Linked DNA regions of Arabidopsis thaliana. The protein of the gene in region 1 interacts with the protein of each later gene in a pairwise test. Each region holds a gene or a part of one and is shown in the gene's direction. Other genes may lie near its edges. The genes, in order: AT4G35110, AT3G20260, AT5G65400 and AT4G15545.

Region 1 (4,851 bases):
ACCAAATTCGTATAAGAAAATCTATGGATTTATCGTATAAAGAACTTTTCTATGCTGCTTTCAAACTTTTTTTAAGATCCCTCCCTTGATTTTGGTATACCTTCAAATGTACATGTATACACAAAAAAAAAATGAAAGACAGAAAGATACACTTACACAATGTAACTTGCTTGATGATTCATAGTCATAGGATTTGAGACTTCTCTAACAATGCACTAAACTAGTCTCTTTCTTGGAAGATTTCTTGATGGAGACACGAGTAAGCTTTAGGGGAAAGAAGAATTTATCATGTTTCAGGTGACTCGTTCACACGATTGTGCAGGTATACTGACAATATTTCTATTTTTTATTAGAAAAATATGGATTTGGTCATAAATATCTAATTTTCTGGAAAAAAAAAAGAGAAAAAAGAAACACCAACGAAGACAAATGAATGAAGAGTAAAATAAAATTAGAGAACAACAGGGAAAGAAAAAGACATGTTGCATGAATGAAAAAGAATGGTCGTATTAGAGTAGTTTGCTAAATGATTTATTTAAAGAATGTGCATTATAGTATTAACAAAATCTTTTCATGTCTTTTTAAAAGCCAACGCTCTAGAGTTGACTCTATGTATTTCTTCTTCTTCTTCTTCATGATATGAAGTCTGACCCCCAACAAAAAAGGATGAAAGTATTTTTGGGGAAATGGTCATTTATCGCTTCTGGATAAGCTACTCGCATTTCGAAACTATATTGTACTAATACTAAAATTACGACTTACGAAAGATGACACAATTAATAACAAAAAGATGCTTTTATCAGATTCTATAATAAATGTTGTTTCCTATCGGATCAACATGCATGCACTTTGACAAATCGGGTAGAAAATTTCCTTCCTTCGGATTGAATCATAAAAATATGTTTTACCTAAGCAATCTCCATAATATTATCAGAAAATTTGGTATCAACACTTATTCGCAAGTAATGATATTTATATATTTGATTTGATTTATACTTATCTGCAACAACAATTAGAAAAAATACTAAGAGATCCAATGTAAACATAACTTTATATTATCTATATTTATTAATTGAAAGATGTCTAAGTTTTATTGGTTAAGTAATAATGGACAGCAAAAAAAAAGATAACTTCTATGCATAAAATTAGACAAGAGATATAGCAATATGGTTAAGAACTTGAGATTCTTAAGAACCTCACGTGTGATGCAAACAATGACACGCAATAACGCGTTTTAACTGACAACTTTCTTTCTTTATTTTTGTCTCTTAAATTTCTTTTCCTTTAAGTGGTTACAGATTTCTACTTTCGATTCTCGTCGACTCTAAAAATCTCACTCGTATTTGTATAACCGTCCCACGTTGTTGTCCACTTCTGGAAGATAAGTGAGGTGTGTGATTGATTGCCGTTTCCAACCTCTTTTCAATTAAATGCTTCTCTCTATCTTCAATTGGTAATATTGGCTTTGGTCAATTCATCATCATCATCATATTATTATTATACCAAAGACAATGTCACATGAACCTTATAATATACACAACTGTTATACCTTATAAACAAAAATAAAAATCAACATTTTATTCATTTTTCTCCGCTCATCACATTTCTCTCCCTCTTCCGATTCTCCTGGTATATCTCTCTCTCTCTTTCTCTTTATTTCTCTGTTTGTTGATTGATTGCATTTTTGTGTGAATTAAAAGTTTGGTTCTTTGATCCACAAATAGATTCTTGATCTCGATCAGAATCGTGGGTTTGCTTTTGTTTTAAGAATTAATTCAATGATCGATGATGAAACTGATTGATACTGTTTTATTGTCATATGCTCTGTTTCTTTGCTCTGTTCTAAGGAAATTTTGTGACAAACGACAATCATGGAAAACGAAATTTCAACCTATTAAAAAAATATTATCCACAAGGGTGGGCCTTGGAAGTTTTTGTCTGTTCAAGAAAACAAGCCGGTCAAAATAATCTACCTTTTAACTCTGGTCTAAGTCAATAACTGAGTGCTTCCACCGTTGAAATTTAGTATCTCACTGGAAAATTGTACTTGGAAATTGCATGGTCGGTCCATGAAAGTATTAAGGAGAAGAAACAAACCAAAAGTCGTCTTTTTGTATCTCTCTATACCTATACATTTTATGATTTGATTGGTTTTGTGGGGATCAATTTCACTATTACTCGTAAGAAATTTCTTTATGGATATGTTTTGGTGAATCTCTCTCTGCTTCTCACAATCTCCCTCTTTACTTTTTTTCTTTCATCATATAAAGGGTTGGTGAAATATGAATGGAATCCAATTTCGTTGGGAGGTTGTTGTATATTATAAGTTTTTAGTGTCTAATCTTTTTGAACTATTTGTTGAAATTAAGGTGTAAAGGTTTGACCACTTACTTACCCTTAATGTGATATGTTCAGTCCTTTGACACCACAAATTTGAAGTTCTTGTGTTGTTCTTTGAGTTTGTCTTCTTTGAGCTGATTAGTTATCTTGATTTTGTTGCAGTTGTTCCATTCATCAAAAAGCTATGGATTTCAATAGAAAAGCTCATCCAGATTGCGTATATGCGGATAATCCTTTCCATGAATGTGCTTCAGCTTGTTTAGAGAAAATTGCTCAAGGCCATGTCAAGAAGAACACTAAGAAGCAAAGTACTTTTTTCTGCTTTTGATTTTGCCATTTTAAAAACTTTTCCTTTATGGATTCTGATTCTTGTTCTGTTATGTTACAGGTTCAAGGCTTCTTAGCTTCTCAGGGAGTTTCGGTAGGAAAAAGAAGGAGTCGAATTCACAACCGCCTACACCGCTATCCGCAAGGCCTTATCAAAACGGCAGAGGCGGTTTTGCAAATGGTAATTCCCCAAAGGTTCATCATTCTGTAGCTCCACCTGCTTCCGTGAAGAAGAAGATTGTTTCTGAAACGAAAAATTCTTTCACTTCTTCATCATCCGGTGATCCGGATGATTTCTTCAACCATAAACCAGAGAAGAAACCTTCTCAAACCATTCCCCTTTCATCAAACAATTTGGTATCTCATCCTTTACTCTCTTCCATGATTTCGACCACCATATCTTTACCATATTTGTAAACATCAAGATTCTTGTATCTTATGAAGGTTGATCAAAGCAAAGTGGTATCACCTAAACCGGGAATACAAGAACACAATGGGAAGATTGGAGAAGGCGGCGAAACTAGACTCTTTAGTTTCCTAAGCCTTCCAAGATCGCCTGGAAAAGAGAGCAATGATGATTTTTCTGATGATGATGACGAAAACAACAATGAGATTGGTGTAGAGCTCGATCTCGAATCAGTAATGTCTGACACTTTTGTCTCTGTCGGGAAATACCGAGTCAGATCGGGTTCATCCACTATACTAAGTGCTGTCATCGAAAAGCACGGAGACATTGCTCAAAACTGTAAGCTGGAATCGGATTCAATGCGATCACGTTACCTCGAGTGTTTATGCTCACTGATGCAGGAACTTAGGTCAACCCCGGTAGGGCAGTTGAGCAAAGTCAAGGTCAAAGAGATGCTTGCGGTTCTCAAAGACTTGGAGTCTGTGAACATTGAAGTAGCTTGGCTACGTTCTGTTCTTGAAGAGTTTGCGCAGTCTCAAGAAGATGTAGAAAATGAGAAAGAGAGGCATGATGGTTTAGTGAAGGCTAAGAGAGAAGAGCTTGAGGCTCAAGAAACGGATTTGGTTAGGATGGAGAAGGAAGTGGTGGAAGTGAAGCGGCGGATTGAGGAGACGCGGGCTCAGATGGTTGAGATCGAAGCAGAACGGTTGAGGATGGAGAAAATGGGATTCAAAATGGAGAAATTTAAAGGGAAATCGTTTATAGATGAGCTTCTGTGAGTTTGAGTTGTGTGTGATGTTGTTAGTAGTAAGCCAAGGGTAGTAGGTAATAGCACAAAATCAAAAATGCTCTAATAAATGAGTTTTTAAGGTTAGGGTTTTTAAGTATTATGGGAAAGCTGGTATTTATTGGTAACTTATAAAAAATATTAAGATATTTGGTTGTTGCTAATAAATACGTTTTGATTTGTGTGATGCATTTTTCTTTGGTTATGTTTTTTTTTTTTTGGTTTCTTTCGTTTTCTATAATGGGAAAGATTACAAGTTGCCTTCGAGTTTGGAAAACGAAAGATTGTTTATTAAAAATTAAATTCACAACTATATTTATTGTGTTAGTTATAGCAGAACTTGTTGAATATTGTATAGTATAGTTCTTTTAAATATGTGTATAGAAAATGTCAAAACAACACTTTTGCAAAATAAAGGAATGAATAATTTTGTTGAGTTCATTCTTTATTACACTCAATTTGAGCTCTACTCTTCGATTTTTTTGTTACTTTGTTTTTGTCGAAAAGTAGATGTTATTCCATAACGATGATTTTTAGGGGATTTTAAAGCCAAATATATCTTATGTTTTTATGTTATTCACTAGTTGATTTTGTTACATAATTGTTAGATTTGATATTTTTAAAAGTAACAAAGTATCGTACTCTGCTTTTAAACCGTTTGCAACGGACAAATCAATCTGTTATTTGCGACAATGCTACTGGGCTTCAGTTACTCATGTCGGCTTTACACCGAGCCCACTGAAACATGGCCCAACGGGAAGCTCCCCGTTGGGTTTGCTCACGAAACGAAGATTTAAGTGTAAACCGGAGAAGTTGAACCAGAAACCTCCAGATAAAGGTTTGTGGACCACAAATTGTGCTTGGTTTTGTTGCACAATGTGAGTAAGTAATTATAAATAACCTCATTGGAGATTCAGATCTTAACTAATAGACAGCAGTTACTTCAATCGTCTTTACTAGAAAAAATAAAATAAAATCTTTAAGTAGGCTC
Region 2 (5,360 bases), on another chromosome or scaffold:
AATTCCTATTAAGTCGCAGTACTCTGAATGATCAAGCAAGTCACGGAAATCTACAAACAGTTTCTCGAACACCTTCCACTGCACTTTGATTGGTCTTGAATATGGATATGGAAGAAAGCCCTGCATCTCTTAGATAGTTAGTTTCTACTAGAAAAGAATTTGAAAACTTTATGGACACTGTTATCCTTTCTTACATCATATTCTTGTGCGATTGATTTCAGCACGGTAAATGTATGTTTTGTGTCCTCTAAATTGTCAAGAAGAGCCAGCCAAATCTTTGTTGCAAGCTCACCAGCTTCTTCTTTCGATTGGCCACAAACAATCAATTGGTCTGCCACCAGAATATAAGATGAATGCCGTCATTAGCAATGATTCATTAAGCAGAGTCAAATGCATATACCAAACTAGCTTACCGATAAGGGTTCCATGCAAAATGCCTGAAGCAGGCATAGTGGAAAGTTGAAGCTGATCATTCAAGAACACGTAAATATGTCCAAGCATCTCATCTATGTCTGTATCATCCACACCTAATATGTTTCTGCTGATGTATAAAGCCACATATCTCCTGCAGCTAAAAGGCTGTTAAGTTCCTTGAATCTAACTAAGACATTATTAAGCTAGCTTTTTTCATAGAAATCAAGTGTGTTTCCAGTCACCGTTTGCTTAATCCTTGACGAATTGGTCCAATCCAGCTCTTAGTTTTGCTAGCAAGTGGATACGCCCGATTAAGAGCAGCCAGCCATAAGCATTCTCCGCGGAATAAATTAGCCCACTGCTTTCTAACACACGATACTTGTTCCCAATTTGTTATTGGAATTCTGATAAATATCTCTATCAAGAGATCCTCTGTAAGCTTTCCAAATGGACTATCATCTTTCATTGTCGGAGCAACGTTCTCTTCTTTACTTCGGTTCATTACTATCCTGCAACACATGTTTTACACATAGATCACCAATAATACATAAGCGACATAAAAGCAACATCAGTCACACTAAATTATTCCATCGAAATCAAACAGAACATTATTGAATAGCACTCATTTAGTAGCTTTTTAAGTATGTTTAAGAGTAACAAACACAACACTAACTTAGAACTTTAAAAAAACATATCTATAAGCCTAAAGCTTATTAAACAAAAACATATTACTTACAGATTCTTAATCCCAGTGAAGCTTCATTCCCATAATCCGGAAACAAGCAAACTAAAAAAAATCAATTGCTTAATGGCAAAGCAAAAAGCATAGAATCAAATGTTCATACGATTTGTAACCAATAAAAGGATAAGCTTTTGTCTACAGTTATAAGATTAAAAAAGTAACAAAATTTGAGTAAAATTCATATGAGAATCCCATTTGATCACTATAGGCTCAAACTCAACAACACAAGTCCCTATATCAACAAGAAAATTCTATTCAGAGGATCATAGCAATCTGATTGATTGGAACCCAAAAAAAATTCTCTTGAAGAAGTCAAAATTTTATAACTAGAAAGAGTAGAAAACGAAACGGCTAAGATGATAACAAGCGTTTCATCAGCTGAAACAGAATTCAAGCAAAAATAGAATCGAATGAGAACTTACAAGAGGTAGTAAGTAATCCCTGAGAAGAAGAACTGGTGTGAGAGACATGCCAAATGAAGCCATGGATCATAACCTCAAGCTCTCCAATTCGGTTTCATCCAATCCACTAGACCGGAATCGTAACCAAAGTAAATTCAAAAACCATACCAATATAACCAAAGTAAAAGACGACGTCGTTTCATAGCAGTATACATAAATTTGGTAAAGAAAAAGCCCATTTTAAGAGAAGCCCAAATTGTCATCAGAAACAAAGATAAGACCCGTAGATGTATGAGACGGAGGAGGGTAAAGATGTAATTTTAAAAGAGAGAAGTGAGCAAATGGAAGGAGAACAGATAGCGCGGCTTTTCTGACAATATTCTCTGTACGATGCTTTTCTTTCTATCTCTCCCCCCACTGACCTACCTACCAGTTGTTACTTGTTACTGCTTCTTCTCCTTTTCATTCATTCATACATCTCTCTCCTTCTCTAATCAAACACCAAAACAAAACCAAAAATTAACCAATAGAAAATGAAGTATCAGAAAAAGTAAAGTAAGAAACCAAACAGTAAAAGACAATTTCGACCCATTAGGAAATAAACAAAAAGTCAAATTGACTCAGAAACCTCTTTGTGAGGGTTTTGACTGCAAATGGAAATTTTTGAGGAAAGGGTTTTAAGAAAGGAAGAAAATTTCTAGTTTTTTTTTGGAATTTGAAATCACAAAGTTTAATTATTGAATTTAATGACATCTGTTTAAGAATCAATAATACTTGCTCTCCTTTCCTCTCTCACATTTATATTGTGCTCTCTCTGTCCATTTACTGAAAAAACTTGAATTGAGACATTATTATACTTTGCTTTCTCTCTCTCTCTCTTGCAAGTGGTTAGAAACATTTCTCCTTCTTTAATCTCCTCCTCCTCCTGTCTTTGTCTTTCGATTTTGTTTTGCTTTTATTTGGGTTTCTCTTTCTTTCTTAAATTTTGAATCTTTTTCTTTCTTTTTGTTTTTTTTCTCACACTCTTTGCTCAGTGTAGTAGTAGTTTCAGTGGAGTGTTGATTTATCAGGGAATGCTAGTGTTCTTATCAGCTAGAGATTAGTGAATCGAATCTAAAGTTTCAGACAAATGCTGTTGTTGCTACTGATCTACTTATGCATTCTTAATCTTCTGTCGGTGTTCCTAATTCTCTAGGGTTTGCTCATGATTCTCTGAGATCTTACTAGATTCATGCATTTTCCTCATTCTCTGGTTTGGTTGATTCTTTGATTAAGTTCGTTGTGGCAGAAGAGAAACGCTTTTACTCATGCAAAGAGACTAGTCTCAGTTTAGATCTTATGATTTAACAAAAAACACTCACTCTCCTAAGTGTGTTTGAGGAGGCAATGGATTTCTTGAAAGTTAGAAAATTTCGAAAGTCTCGGAAGCCAAACCTTGAAAAGGAGAAAGAAGACAAGATATTGGCTCAGCAAGAACAGGCAAGGAGTGAGAACACTGAAGCTGGTGTGATAGATTCGGGGAAAGGAGATGAGATCGAAGATGACGATGATGATTTCATTACCAATGAGGTTAAGAGAAGGCTCAAGGAGTTGAGGAGAAACAGTTTCATGGTGTTGATACCTGAGGAAGAAGAAGAAGAAGAAGAGGAATCGTATCTAGATGAAGATGATGATGACGGAGAAGACAAGTGTTCAAGTGAGTGGAGAGATGTGGTTGCTGAAGGACTTCAATGGTGGGGAGGTTTTGATGCTGTCTATGAAAAGTATTGCGAGCGTATGCTCTTCTTTGATCGTTTAAGCTCTCAGCAGCTCAAGGAAACTGGTAAAAGCTTCTTGCTTTGAACTGTTTTTCATTGTGATAGATTGGACTGATCATGGATTTGTTGGTTACTTTTCAATCTCTTAGGCATTGGAATTGCTCCAAGTCCTTCAACTCCATCGCCAAGATCTGCATCTAAGAAGCTGTCATCGCCTTTCCGATGTCTTTCTCTCAAAAAGTTTGATGTTCCGGAGGAAGATATCGAGCATTTGCAGCCGACAGAAGTTGACGACCCTTATCAAGATCTAGAGACGGCCTATGTTGCTCAACTCTGCCTCACTTGGGAGGCACTTCACTGTCAATACACGCAGCTGAGCCACTTAATCTCATGCCAACCCGAAACCCCGACTTGCTACAACCATACTGCCCAACTGTTTCAGCAATTCCTAGTCTTGTTGCAGAGGTATATAGAGAATGAACCGTTTGAGCAAGGCTCAAGATCGGAACTTTATGCTCGTGCTAGAAATGCAATGCCTAAGCTACTTCAAGCTCCTAAGATTCAAGGTGATTTCTCAGCTCTCATACATTGCGCGACTTAAAACCTTATGTGTAGTAGTAACACTTGAAGTTGGTTATGTTCAAAACATATCAGGGTCAGATAAAAAGGAGATGGAGAAAGATACAGGCTTCATGGTCCTCGCTGATGATCTCATCAAAGTCATAGAGAGCTCGATCCTTACTTTCAACGTCTTCTTGAAAATGGATAAGAAGAAACCAAATGGGGGTATTCACTTGTTTGGGAACCACAACAACAACCATGTGAATTCTACAACTCCTTTACTACTGGTTCAGTCATCCATTGATAAGGTACGATTTCTCTGTACTCAAATGTTATTACTATCGTATGCTTCTTTGGTGTCTCATAAGAGAGGAACTTTTGCAGAAAAGGGTGAAAGCAAAGGAGCTTTCAAAGAAGACAAAAGGGCTGAGAAAGAAATCATGGCCTCAAACATGGGAAGGTGTTCAACTCTTGTTTGCAGCCATTGACATCAAACTCGCAACACGGGTTTTGAGGATGTCGAAAATCAGTAAAGAGCAACTTCTATGGTGTGAAGAAAAGATGAAAAAGCTCAACTTTTCAGCTGGGAAGCTTCAAAGACACCCATCTCCAATTCTTTTCCCTTGTTGATATAATAAAGTGATGAACACACAATGATTTCAAATACTGTAGCATCAACTGTTCCCTTTTTATACGATCTTTAAGATCCGGTTTGGGGATTTTTCTTTTGCAGACAAATCAAAGAAGAAATTGTGTGTGTTGTTCCATTTGCTTTCATTCATTCTCTTGGCAATAAGAGTCCAATTCCAAGAACACACTTGGTTTGGTCATAGATTCACTATTAAGGGACCATTTTCATTGTTGTCGTTTGGATTTAGCACATATGAAAGAATCCAATGTTGTCTTGTTGATGGGAAACTAAATCCATGATCATGATCATGATGGTGATAGAAAAGTCTTATTCTTCTATCACTTTCATTGTTTTTGGCCAAAGTCTTTTTATTTCTTTTCCACACTTTCCTATTTAACAAAAATCCTAAGAACTATAACTATAAAACTGTTGAACAGTGTTCAGGTTCTTAAAACAAACAATTAGAATTTCTTAATCCAAAAAGAAGAAGAAACAAAAACAAAAAACTTAAAGTGTGTTTTGGTGGTGGCGTAGTAACAGGCAACAGAGACAATGCCACGTGAACGTATCTCTTTCAACTAGAAGTGTCAACACGTGGCAAACCTAGTCACCAATTTGGAGCCAAAGCTTGAATGACCAAAAAGGGCTTGCTTCACCACCACCGTTAAAGAACATGCTGAGGGGTAGTTTAGTCATTATAAGGAGACGACGACCTCTTCGTGTGCGAATCCGTCGTGATGCTGAATATTGTAATGTTGTTAAAAATGCGATATCGAAAAACTCTTTAAATAAAATTTTGTGTATTAAATTAAAGACTAAAACCTTACAATAATTGCCGAGAAACAAAAAAGTGT
Region 3 (4,543 bases), on another chromosome or scaffold:
GGATCATAATTATTCGATTATTATTAGTATAAATAATGATTAGTAGCTAATATTCAAATGAAGGAATAACATTTTAGTAGTCAAATAGCAGAAACGTTTAAGTGAAAAAAAATAGCAAAAATATTTGATCAGTAACACACACATATCAGTGATTAACAACTTGTTTTATCGTAAATAAGAGAATACATTTTCAAAACTAAACATAATTAAGTGATAGATCATTTTATCACTATAATGTAGTCGCATATATGTATATATATAATTTTGTAGGATTTTTAGGTTAACTCAATTTTTAGCTCTTAGTTGTAAATTTGTCATTTTTTAATGATTTGGTAAGTATAGTAGATGAGAAATCGAAGTTGAGAACCAATTCTATCCGTTGAGTATAAAATCATCAATGGTTTTAGAAGACCGGATTGGTTTAGCTAAATCGAATCATGATTGTCAATAATAATTGGAGAGAGAAAACGTATAATGAAGTAGTATTGAATATTGTATCATGTTTGTCTTACTGTCTAATCGATCCACCCACCGATAATAATAGTATACTTTTTCTGATATAGTAAATAGTAACGATCTCTTTGCCCGTATACGATGAACCTTAATGACAAAAATACAGATCTATCAAGAAAGAACGATGTCGTTATTATCGTATATCCCATGTGCGTAGCAGACCTATCGGGATAATTTTTGATTACTGGTTATGGTTTTATTGTTGTCGTTACCGTTGGATATTTGCTGTTTTTCGTTTTATTTATTTTCTTTTGTCCATTACTATCTCTTGTGTTTGTTGCTAGTAGTAACAAGAGTTGGAGATAGCTGTCAGAGAATTTTATATAGTTGAATAATAAATACAAATATTATAACCCCAAATAAAACGGGTACATATACATTACAACATAACATAACAACGGAAGAAGACATTTGATAGCCTGTAAAGGTCATTTTACAGTGAATCCAGAAGGTTCGTATTAATCATTAAATTAAAATATAATCGGTATTTGACAAAATGAACTGAATTATAGTTGGCAATTTTATGAGGCCCATATGATGCGAAACCAACCGACGATTATACACTATACCTACAATTTTTATTGCACTGACTCGATTGATTAATCCCTAACTAAAAGTTCAAAATATTTGCATCCAACTTTATTTTCATTAGTGTGAACATCAATATAAAGAATTGAGAAGATCATTACAGGTTGTTTCAGATGATAACGACAAGTTCGTTATATATGCACTATAACTTGCTTTGTTACATATGCTATAAAGTTCATTTGCAATATATACGATTTGATTACATCAGTGTGGGATTCCTAGAGGATGAATTAAGTGTTAAAAATGAATCTATACATAGTAGTTTGCTTTGAATCCATATGAAAAAACTGTTGAGGTTTAATGTCGAAATTTCTTTATCTTTGGCTTCGGCTGCAGTCAAAATTGCCGAAAGACCACCTCGACTCCAAACCATTTTCTTGATAATTGTAAAAAAAAAAAAAAAAAAAAACATGATGTCCCATATGCGTGTCTAATAATATATATAGCCAAGAAGCATATATTTATTTAGGGGAAGAGAATGCTAAAGCATGAGTTTTGTGCTGGCTTTATGTTGTTGTAACTCTTAGAGCAACATGTATTCACTTCTAACTGAACTTTACATAATTTAAAGCATGATTTGGATTATCTAAAAAAAAGTTAGATTATGATGAATATACAAGTTTTTTTTGTTAGTGGAAAACTCTCATTTCTTCGAGTAAGCTTCTCCATACATAATTTTCATTGTCTATATATATATTGATCTATTTGTAATTGTAACTCTTGAAAGTTTGGAAAATATTTGTAATAAGAGATAAACAATGATATGGGCCGATATTTGCGAAACTGATTTCAAAGGATTCTTCTTTATGGGCCTATAGAGTTTTGGGCCTTTCTACCAAAACTTTCGCGACAAGCGATATGTTAGGGCACAAGGACAATTCGAAACCTGAGAAGAGAGCTAGAGCTTGTCAGATGTTAGGATACTCCTATCCTTGTTTCCAAACGGGATTACGGTTAACGACGGCGATGGCGCCGGAAATTCACCTGAAACCGAAGAACCCTAGAATTTTATGCCTTCATGGATTCAGAACTAGTGGTCGGATTCTCCAAGCCGGTATAGGTAAATGGCCGGACACAATTCTCCGAGATCTCGACCTCGATTTCCTTGACGCTCCTTTTCCGGCCACCGGGAAATCGGACGTCGAGCGTTTCTTTGACCCACCGTATTACGAGTGGTACCAGGCTAACAAGGTTCGTTGCAACAAAATCCTAAATTTCCTTGAATTCAGTATTGATCATTGACACTGTTAACACTATCAGAGTAAAGGTTGTTTTTTTTCTCTAGAAAACAGAGAGATTTGGTCTAAGTTTGTATACATAATTTGATTTGTGTGTGTGTGTGTTTGCAGGGGTTTAAGGAATATAGGAATTTTGAAGAGTGTTTGGCTTATATAGAGGACTACATGATAAAGAATGGACCTTTTGATGGTCTTCTTGGTTTTTCTCAGGTTTGTTTTGATTCTTTGGCGAGATTTTAGTACTGATCACTTTCATATATATCAGCAGGAGGATCGTGGACCGTTGATTCTTGATCCATTCTTGCAGGGAGCTTTTCTAACTGCAGCTATTCCTGGAATGCAAGAACAGGTACATAACTGCATAACTGATCATAATCCTGGTTCTGAGATTGAATCTGCTTATGATATTTTGAAGAATGAAACCTATTGTTAGAGTAGTTTTCTATTGTTCTGTTTTGAGCAAGTGTGTGATGTTGAAACCATTTATATGCAACAGAGAGGTTGAATCTGAATTGAAGAATGAAACATGTTGTTTTAATAGTTTGAGTAAGTCTGTGATGTTGTAAACTGTTTTGTAGGGATCGGCTCTAACTAAGGTGCCAAAAGTCAAGTTTTTAGTTATCATTTCTGGAGCGAAAATTCCAGGGTTGATGTTTGGGGAGCCTAAAGCTGCTGTTAATGCATTCTCATCTCCAGTTCGTTGCCCATCACTCCACTTCATAGGTAAACTGTTACTACGTTGCGCATGTTCTTGACTTGATTTCTCGGTTATGTTGTAATGCCAAGTTTCTGTTGTTTGAAGCTTACGTTAGTAGTGTGCCTTTAGTGTAGCCAAGATTGGCATGGGAGTGTTTAGACTAGAATCTAATCTGCAGCACTACATGTTAACGTTAGAGATTCTCTCCTACAACATTTGATATGACATAAGAGACAACTTGTTTGTAATTCTGTATCGGTTTTGCTGCAGGTGAGAGGGATTTCCTGAAGATAGAAGGTGAAGTGCTTGTAGAATCATTCGTAGAGCCAGTGGTGATCCATCATTCAGGTGGACACATTATACCAAAACTCGGTTAGTAAGCATGAAAGGCTGATCATTTAAGCTCTGATTTTTTTTGGAGAAATATGCAATTGAAATAAGTAACATAAGATCTGTCTCTTCTTAATTTACTCTAATGAGCTTATCTTTGTCTTCTGCAGATACTAAAGCTGAGGAGACAATGTTGAGTTTCTTCCAGAGCATTAGGCAGATGCTTTCTGATGAATCAGGTTCTGTAAGAAGCTTGATGTGACTGAGAGCTACTCCAGTATGGTTTACTTTAGATTAGATGATCTTGCAATTTTATAAAATTGTGAGATGTGATTATTCTTCTGGTTTAGTCTTTATCCAGGGACAATTCAATAAACGTAAATTATTAAATTTACCAACCAATATGGATTGCCCGTTCATGTAATTACAGTTTATAGAGAAGAGCCAAAGATGGTCAAATAGTTTGGTACAATTGTCTTCCTTTAAATATATGAGCAGCCAATATCAAAAACTCTATTCAAACTTTTTTCTTTGTTATAGGAAAAATGTTAGGAGAATTTAACAACAAAAAAAAAAAATGATGGAAGAACAAAAAATATGGAGGGGGGCATCAAAGAAGGTGAGTTAAATTATTGTCCTTTAGATGTATTAATGGTCAAATGGATCTCATGATAATCTATGAGTTCCACTTGTAACAAAGTTTTACTTCTTTTTCAATCTACCCCCTTATACCCTATTAACTTAGCCTTGTCGGTTGCTTTCTAGTCTTAAAAAAAAAACAAAATTTCAACTCTTTTTTTATTCTTGTATGAAATAATTGATTGAACATATCGAATTACAGATCATATGATTACCCCTCATTTCAAAATAAATATATGATAAACAGTAGACGTCGACATGGGTTGTGTAATTTCAGACTTATATGTATACCCATCATAAGTATTCTCACGCTTGCAAAGCTTTAACTGTTTAGTTTTCATGCACTTTTAACAAATCATCATCATAATCTATTTTCAACAATTTGCTTATATCTTGAAATAGTTGTTTGGTTTAGTTTTTGTGTTGTTTTCCCTGTTCTCATGATATACCAAACCACTATTTTAATAAGAGGTAGAAAATAATTTCTCGTGAGAATGTCTAGTTGTGAATTGTGATGACCGTATCAACATTAATGTAT
Region 4 (4,859 bases), 7.8 Mb from region 1:
CGGGTAATTATATCTTCATGTTTCTAGATTTATGAGCATTTTCGGGTTGTTTATCGCTAACTTGGGGGTGAATAACAGGCTCACGTCGCGGGTAGCTGGTTGTAAAGGTATAGAATATAGTTCCCCAACTCTTTCCTCTGCTATCAGCAATCTTACACCAGCTTTCACCTTCATCCTTGCCATCTTCTTCAGGTTCCACTTTCTCCTAAACCGGGTGATTCCAATCTTAACCATACAAAAGATATGATTTTCACACAGTAACAGTCAATATGAAATGATATTTTTGTCTGTGAATTATGGAGTAGTTGTATAAGTATGAGAAATGTTGGATAGATATGAGGTTTGTTTGTAACTCTAACTTTGATGACTTGTTCTGCTTCCTTGGGTGACTTAAAGGATGGAACAAGTAATGTTAAGAAGCTCTGCAACTCAGGCTAAAATCATTGGCACAATAGTTTCTATATCTGGTGCTCTGGTTATTGTTCTGTATAAAGGCCCAAAACTTCTTGTTGCTGCATCGTTTACTTCATTCGAGTCAAGTTGGATAATTGGAGGCCTTTTGCTCGGTCTGCAGTTTTTGCTTCTTTCAGTCTGGTTTATTCTTCAGGTAGTACATACACTTGGAACAGATTCATGAAAGAGATTTTTGGATTTGTTGGTGACGCATAAGATTGAGCTAAATTTGTCACTTCCACATGATTTTAGACTCATATCATGGAGATATACCCTGAAGAAATAGCCGTAGTCTTCTGCTACAACTTATGCGCAACTCTAATCTCAGGGACAGTATGTCTACTTGTAGAAAAAGACTTGAATTCTTGGCAGCTTAAACCAGGTTTCTCCCTCGCTTCAGTCATATACTCGGTAAGTAATCAAACCTCATAAGTTGAGAAATCAAATCTTTAGCTCAGAAACTAATACTCTGTTTCAGGGACTCTTTGATACATCATTGGGCTCAGTTATCCACACATGGGGTCTCCATGTGAAGGGTCCAGTCTACATATCCTTGTTCAAGCCGCTGTCTATCGCAATTGCAGTCGCCATGGCTGCTATATTCCTCGGCGACACACTTCATCTTGGGAGGTACCATCTTATTACCTTCAACTTTATAATGTCTCTTTCTTAAAGAAACATAGTGATGATAACTTAGTTCTAGGTGTTTGAAATGTTTAGTTTCATCTTCAAATACATAATGAATAATAAAATGTGAAGACAGTAACAACTAACAATCGATATAGATTTTCGGTTGTTAGGTAATAAGATTTACATGATTGGTACATATAAATTTGCATCTATGTGTTGTGGGCAGTGTGATTGGATCAGTGATATTGAGCTTTGGGTTTTACACTGTGATTTGGGGCAAAGCAAGAGAGGATTCAACCAAAACAGTAAGTGATTCTGAGCAATCACTTTTATTGCCTTCACACGACAGAGAAGAAGATTGAAACCTTGTCATGAAAATATGTTGGAGACAAGTGTAATCGTTTTCTTATTTTATTCATAATTATGGTCCCATTAGATGATGATGATCCCTATTTATCTTGTAAGTTGTAAGATCTTATGACTTGTACAAAAAAAATCTAACATGATACATTGAAATGTGAAAAATGATATACTTATTTGTTGAGAAAATGATAATATTTCTTATAGTATAAGGAATTTATTTACTTTTCTAGGGGGTAAAATCCAGCTATGTCCGGATTTTCGGTTTGTTTGCAATTTGAATCCGGTTTTGTATCCAGTTTGACGTTTGGAATTGGATACAATGTATTTGTCTCCTCTTATGTGTCCAATGAATTATAGTCCTATCCATTCATAGAACAAAAACTTGGCTTACCCAATTCAATACCACACATTATGTCATATCACTTCACACAAAAAGACAAACCATACGTGACCACATTTCTCTTTATCCACACACATTCACGTCTATCAATTCAATCATATCAACATTACATAACCGAACCGGTATCAATCCCAAACCGGAATTGTATTTCCCATAACACAATAGAATTTAGCGTTGACATAATGAAGCTTTTTGTAATAATACAGTCTCAATCGATGAATATTGATATGTAAAATCAAGAAATTGTTTGGTTTAGACTCAAATTTCGGTTTAATACTAATACCGGGTTATACCGTAACCGTATATGAACTCATAAGGTACAAAAAAAACACAGAAAACGAGAAATGTCAGAGATAGAAGAAGAAGAAGAAGAAGGATCAGCAAGTGCAATTACAGGTTCGAGAAGTTTCGATCTTCCCGATGAACTTCTTCAAGTTCTACCGTCCGATCCATTCGAGCAGCTAGATGTAGCTCGCAAAATCACATCCATTGCTCTCTCGACACGTGTCTCAGCTCTCGAATCAGAGTCGTCGGATCTCCGGGAACTTCTCGCCGAGAAAGAAAAAGAATTTGAAGAACTCCAGTCTCACGTTGAGTCTCTCGAGGCTTCTCTTTCCGATGCGTTTCATAAGCTTTCTCTCGCTGATGGTGAAAAGGTCCGACCCGACCCGGTTTTTGACTTTATTTGTTCTGTTTTGACCCGATTCATTTTTACTGATTTTGATCTAATTATCTTCTTCCAGGAGAATCTGATAAGAGAAAATGCTTCTTTGTCTAATACTGTCAAGAGACTTCAGAGAGATGTCTCAAAGGTAATTTTGACTCTGTTTCAAATTTGACGTCAGGTCTCTTTGTTTCTAAATTTGGAAGTAGCTGAGATTTTAGGGTTTTTGTTTCTAAATTTGTGTGCAGCTTGAGGGTTTTAGGAAGACGCTTATGATGTCTCTTCAAGATGATGACCAAAATGTATGAAACTTATACTCTTCATGTTCTCTAATTTGCTTTGAAGTAACAAATTCATGATCTTGAATTGATTGTGTTTGGTTTTGTAACAGGCAGGAACAACGCAAATCATCGCTAAGCCGACACCAAACGGTATAGTTCTTGTGAAGATTTTAGTGAAAACTTGTGTTCATATACCAAAATGGATGGTTCTTATTGTGGTTTATTGTCATTTTCAGATGATGATACTCCATTTCAACCTTCAAGACATTCATCAATCCAATCTCAACAAGCTTCTGAAGCCATTGAACCAGCTGCAACTGACAACGAAAACGATGGTATAGTACTTGCTTGCTCTCAACGCTTAAGCCACTAACCTTTTGTGTTTAATGCGTTAGTTTGTTTTGTGTTATATCGTAGCTCCTAAACCAAGTTTATCAGCTAGTCTTCCGTTAGTATCACAAACTACTACGCCACGGCTTACTCCTCCTGGTTCTCCACCAATCTTATCTGCTTCTGGTACACCGAAAACAACTTCGAGACCTATCTCTCCTCGACGCCATTCTGTATCGTTCGCTACCACTAGAGGCATGTTTGATGATACTAGATCTTCTATTTCAATCTCAGAGCCTGGTTCACAAACTGGTAAGTTCAAACCAAGATTTTCTTGTGGCGGGTTTTGGAACAACACCTTTATTTACGGTTTGTTTGTTATCTTCGTTTTCAGCGAGAACTCGGGTTGATGGAAAAGAGTTCTTTCGACAAGTCAGGAGCCGATTATCTTACGAGCAATTTGGTGCATTTCTTGGAAATGTGAAGGATCTTAACGCCCACAAGCAAACAAGAGAAGTAAGGAGAATCCTCTCTCAATCATCTTTACCCTCTTTCGATTCAAAACTTGGATTCTGATTCGACCTGCAATGTCTTTTCTTCTTTGTTTTCTAGGAAACACTTAGGAAAGCTGAAGAGATATTTGGAGGCGATAACAGAGATCTCTACGTCATATTCGAGGGCTTGATCACACGCAACGCTCACTAAGAGTTTGGCTTCTTCAGTTACACAAAGAACTTATATACTCGGAAACTCAGGATTCATCAGTCTGCAACATTCAATTTCTTTTGTTTCCTTGGCTGTCAAGTAAGACCAAGTAAAACTGACAATTTGATTGTATCATTTGTGCTCTCTCGTGTATCTATCTATCTCTCTCTTCTTGAATAAATTACATTTCATCATCTTCAAAACTAACCAATCAACATCCAAAATACTGTCTACTGTATTGTGTAAACATTGAAACAGAGCAAGGAAGAACAGAAAAGCGGAGTGTTGTTATAATTTCTGATACCAAAATCACATGTGCTCATCGACAAAAGCTTTGAGATGATTAAAGGAAGAGCCTCCTTCTCTCACAGCCTCCGCCGCTAAATCCTTCCACCTCGTGGCATTTCCTCTAAACTCCTCCGCCTTGTCTTCCATAACTTCCTCAATGCACCGCCGTATCTCCTCACTATCCACCACCACAACTCCTTCTTCTTCCTTCTTCTCCATCACTCTTACACCTGTTTTCCAACAATCTTCTAAAAGCTTCGCGTTCATCATCTGATCATTCCATTGCGGAAACGCCACCACCGGAACTCCTGAAACCAAGCTCTCCAGCGTAGAGTTCCACCCGCAATGCGTCACGAAACAACCTATCGATCTATGATTCAAAACCCTAAACTGATCACACCATGAAACCACCATTCCTATCTCATCGAGCTCTTCTCTGAAACTACTTATGCAATCTTCTTCCTTCTCTTGCTCATCTTCTTTATTTCTGTACGACTTATCCGTAATCACCCACAAGAATGGTCTCCGACTTTGTATCAACGCTTTACAAAGCTCCACAAGCTGTTTCTTGCTCAACACGGCAAGCGTCCCGAACGAAACATAAAGCACAGACGAATCCGCTTTAGTATCCAACCACTCTATGTATTCACCGCGACTCGAAAAATCCGTTCTCAACGTTAGTAACGGACCGACAGGGACAATCTTGAAATTATCTGGAACCGAGCTCATGGCTTCTGGCTCAAGC

What was found.
Region 2: the proteins of AT4G35110 (region 1) and AT3G20260 interact in a two-hybrid assay, tested with the Arabidopsis thaliana proteins (one large-scale study listed by BioGRID).
Region 3: the proteins of AT4G35110 (region 1) and AT5G65400 interact in a two-hybrid assay, tested with the Arabidopsis thaliana proteins (one large-scale study listed by BioGRID).
Region 4: the proteins of AT4G35110 (region 1) and AT4G15545 interact in a two-hybrid assay, tested with the Arabidopsis thaliana proteins (one large-scale study listed by BioGRID).

The regions. Positions count from the first base shown.
Region 1 is NC_003075.7:16,711,661-16,716,511, reverse strand, and holds AT4G35110 (phospholipase-like protein (PEARLI 4) family protein), read left to right. Parts: upstream 1-1,720; 5' UTR 1,721-2,195; coding exon of another isoform or gene 2,196-2,209; 5' UTR 2,210-2,286; coding exon 2,287-2,309; exon of another isoform or gene 2,310-2,502; coding exon 2,503-2,648; intron 2,649-2,728; coding exon 2,729-3,024; intron 3,025-3,111; coding exon 3,112-3,852; 3' UTR 3,853-4,097; downstream 4,098-4,851.
Region 2 is NC_003074.8:7,063,335-7,068,694, reverse strand, and holds AT3G20260 (DUF1666 family protein (DUF1666)), read left to right. Parts: upstream 1-1,965; 5' UTR 1,966-2,943; coding exon 2,944-3,379; intron 3,380-3,463; coding exon 3,464-3,880; intron 3,881-3,968; coding exon 3,969-4,183; intron 4,184-4,259; coding exon 4,260-4,505; 3' UTR 4,506-4,785; downstream 4,786-5,360. Other genes in the region: AT3G20270 (lipid-binding serum glycoprotein family protein), read right to left, coding at 1-120, 195-331, 414-565, 657-916.
Region 3 is NC_003076.8:26,129,435-26,133,977, forward strand, and holds AT5G65400 (alpha/beta-Hydrolases superfamily protein), read left to right. Parts: upstream 1-1,848; 5' UTR 1,849-1,959; coding exon 1,960-2,292; intron 2,293-2,450; coding exon 2,451-2,549; intron 2,550-2,646; coding exon 2,647-2,688; intron 2,689-2,917; coding exon 2,918-3,062; intron 3,063-3,306; coding exon 3,307-3,408; intron 3,409-3,536; coding exon 3,537-3,628; 3' UTR 3,629-3,866; downstream 3,867-4,543.
Region 4 is NC_003075.7:8,873,742-8,878,600, forward strand, and holds AT4G15545 (PH-response transcription factor), read left to right. Parts: upstream 1-1,914; 5' UTR 1,915-2,190; coding exon 2,191-2,502; intron 2,503-2,589; coding exon 2,590-2,658; intron 2,659-2,758; coding exon 2,759-2,812; intron 2,813-2,901; coding exon 2,902-2,941; intron 2,942-3,027; coding exon 3,028-3,126; intron 3,127-3,208; coding exon 3,209-3,433; intron 3,434-3,515; coding exon 3,516-3,637; intron 3,638-3,733; coding exon 3,734-3,826; 3' UTR 3,827-4,058; downstream 4,059-4,859. Other genes in the region: UMAMIT38 (EamA-like transporter family), read left to right, coding at 1-3, 79-192, 397-607, 706-864, 932-1,083, 1,310-1,445; IAGLU (indole-3-acetate beta-D-glucosyltransferase), read right to left, coding at 4,136-4,859.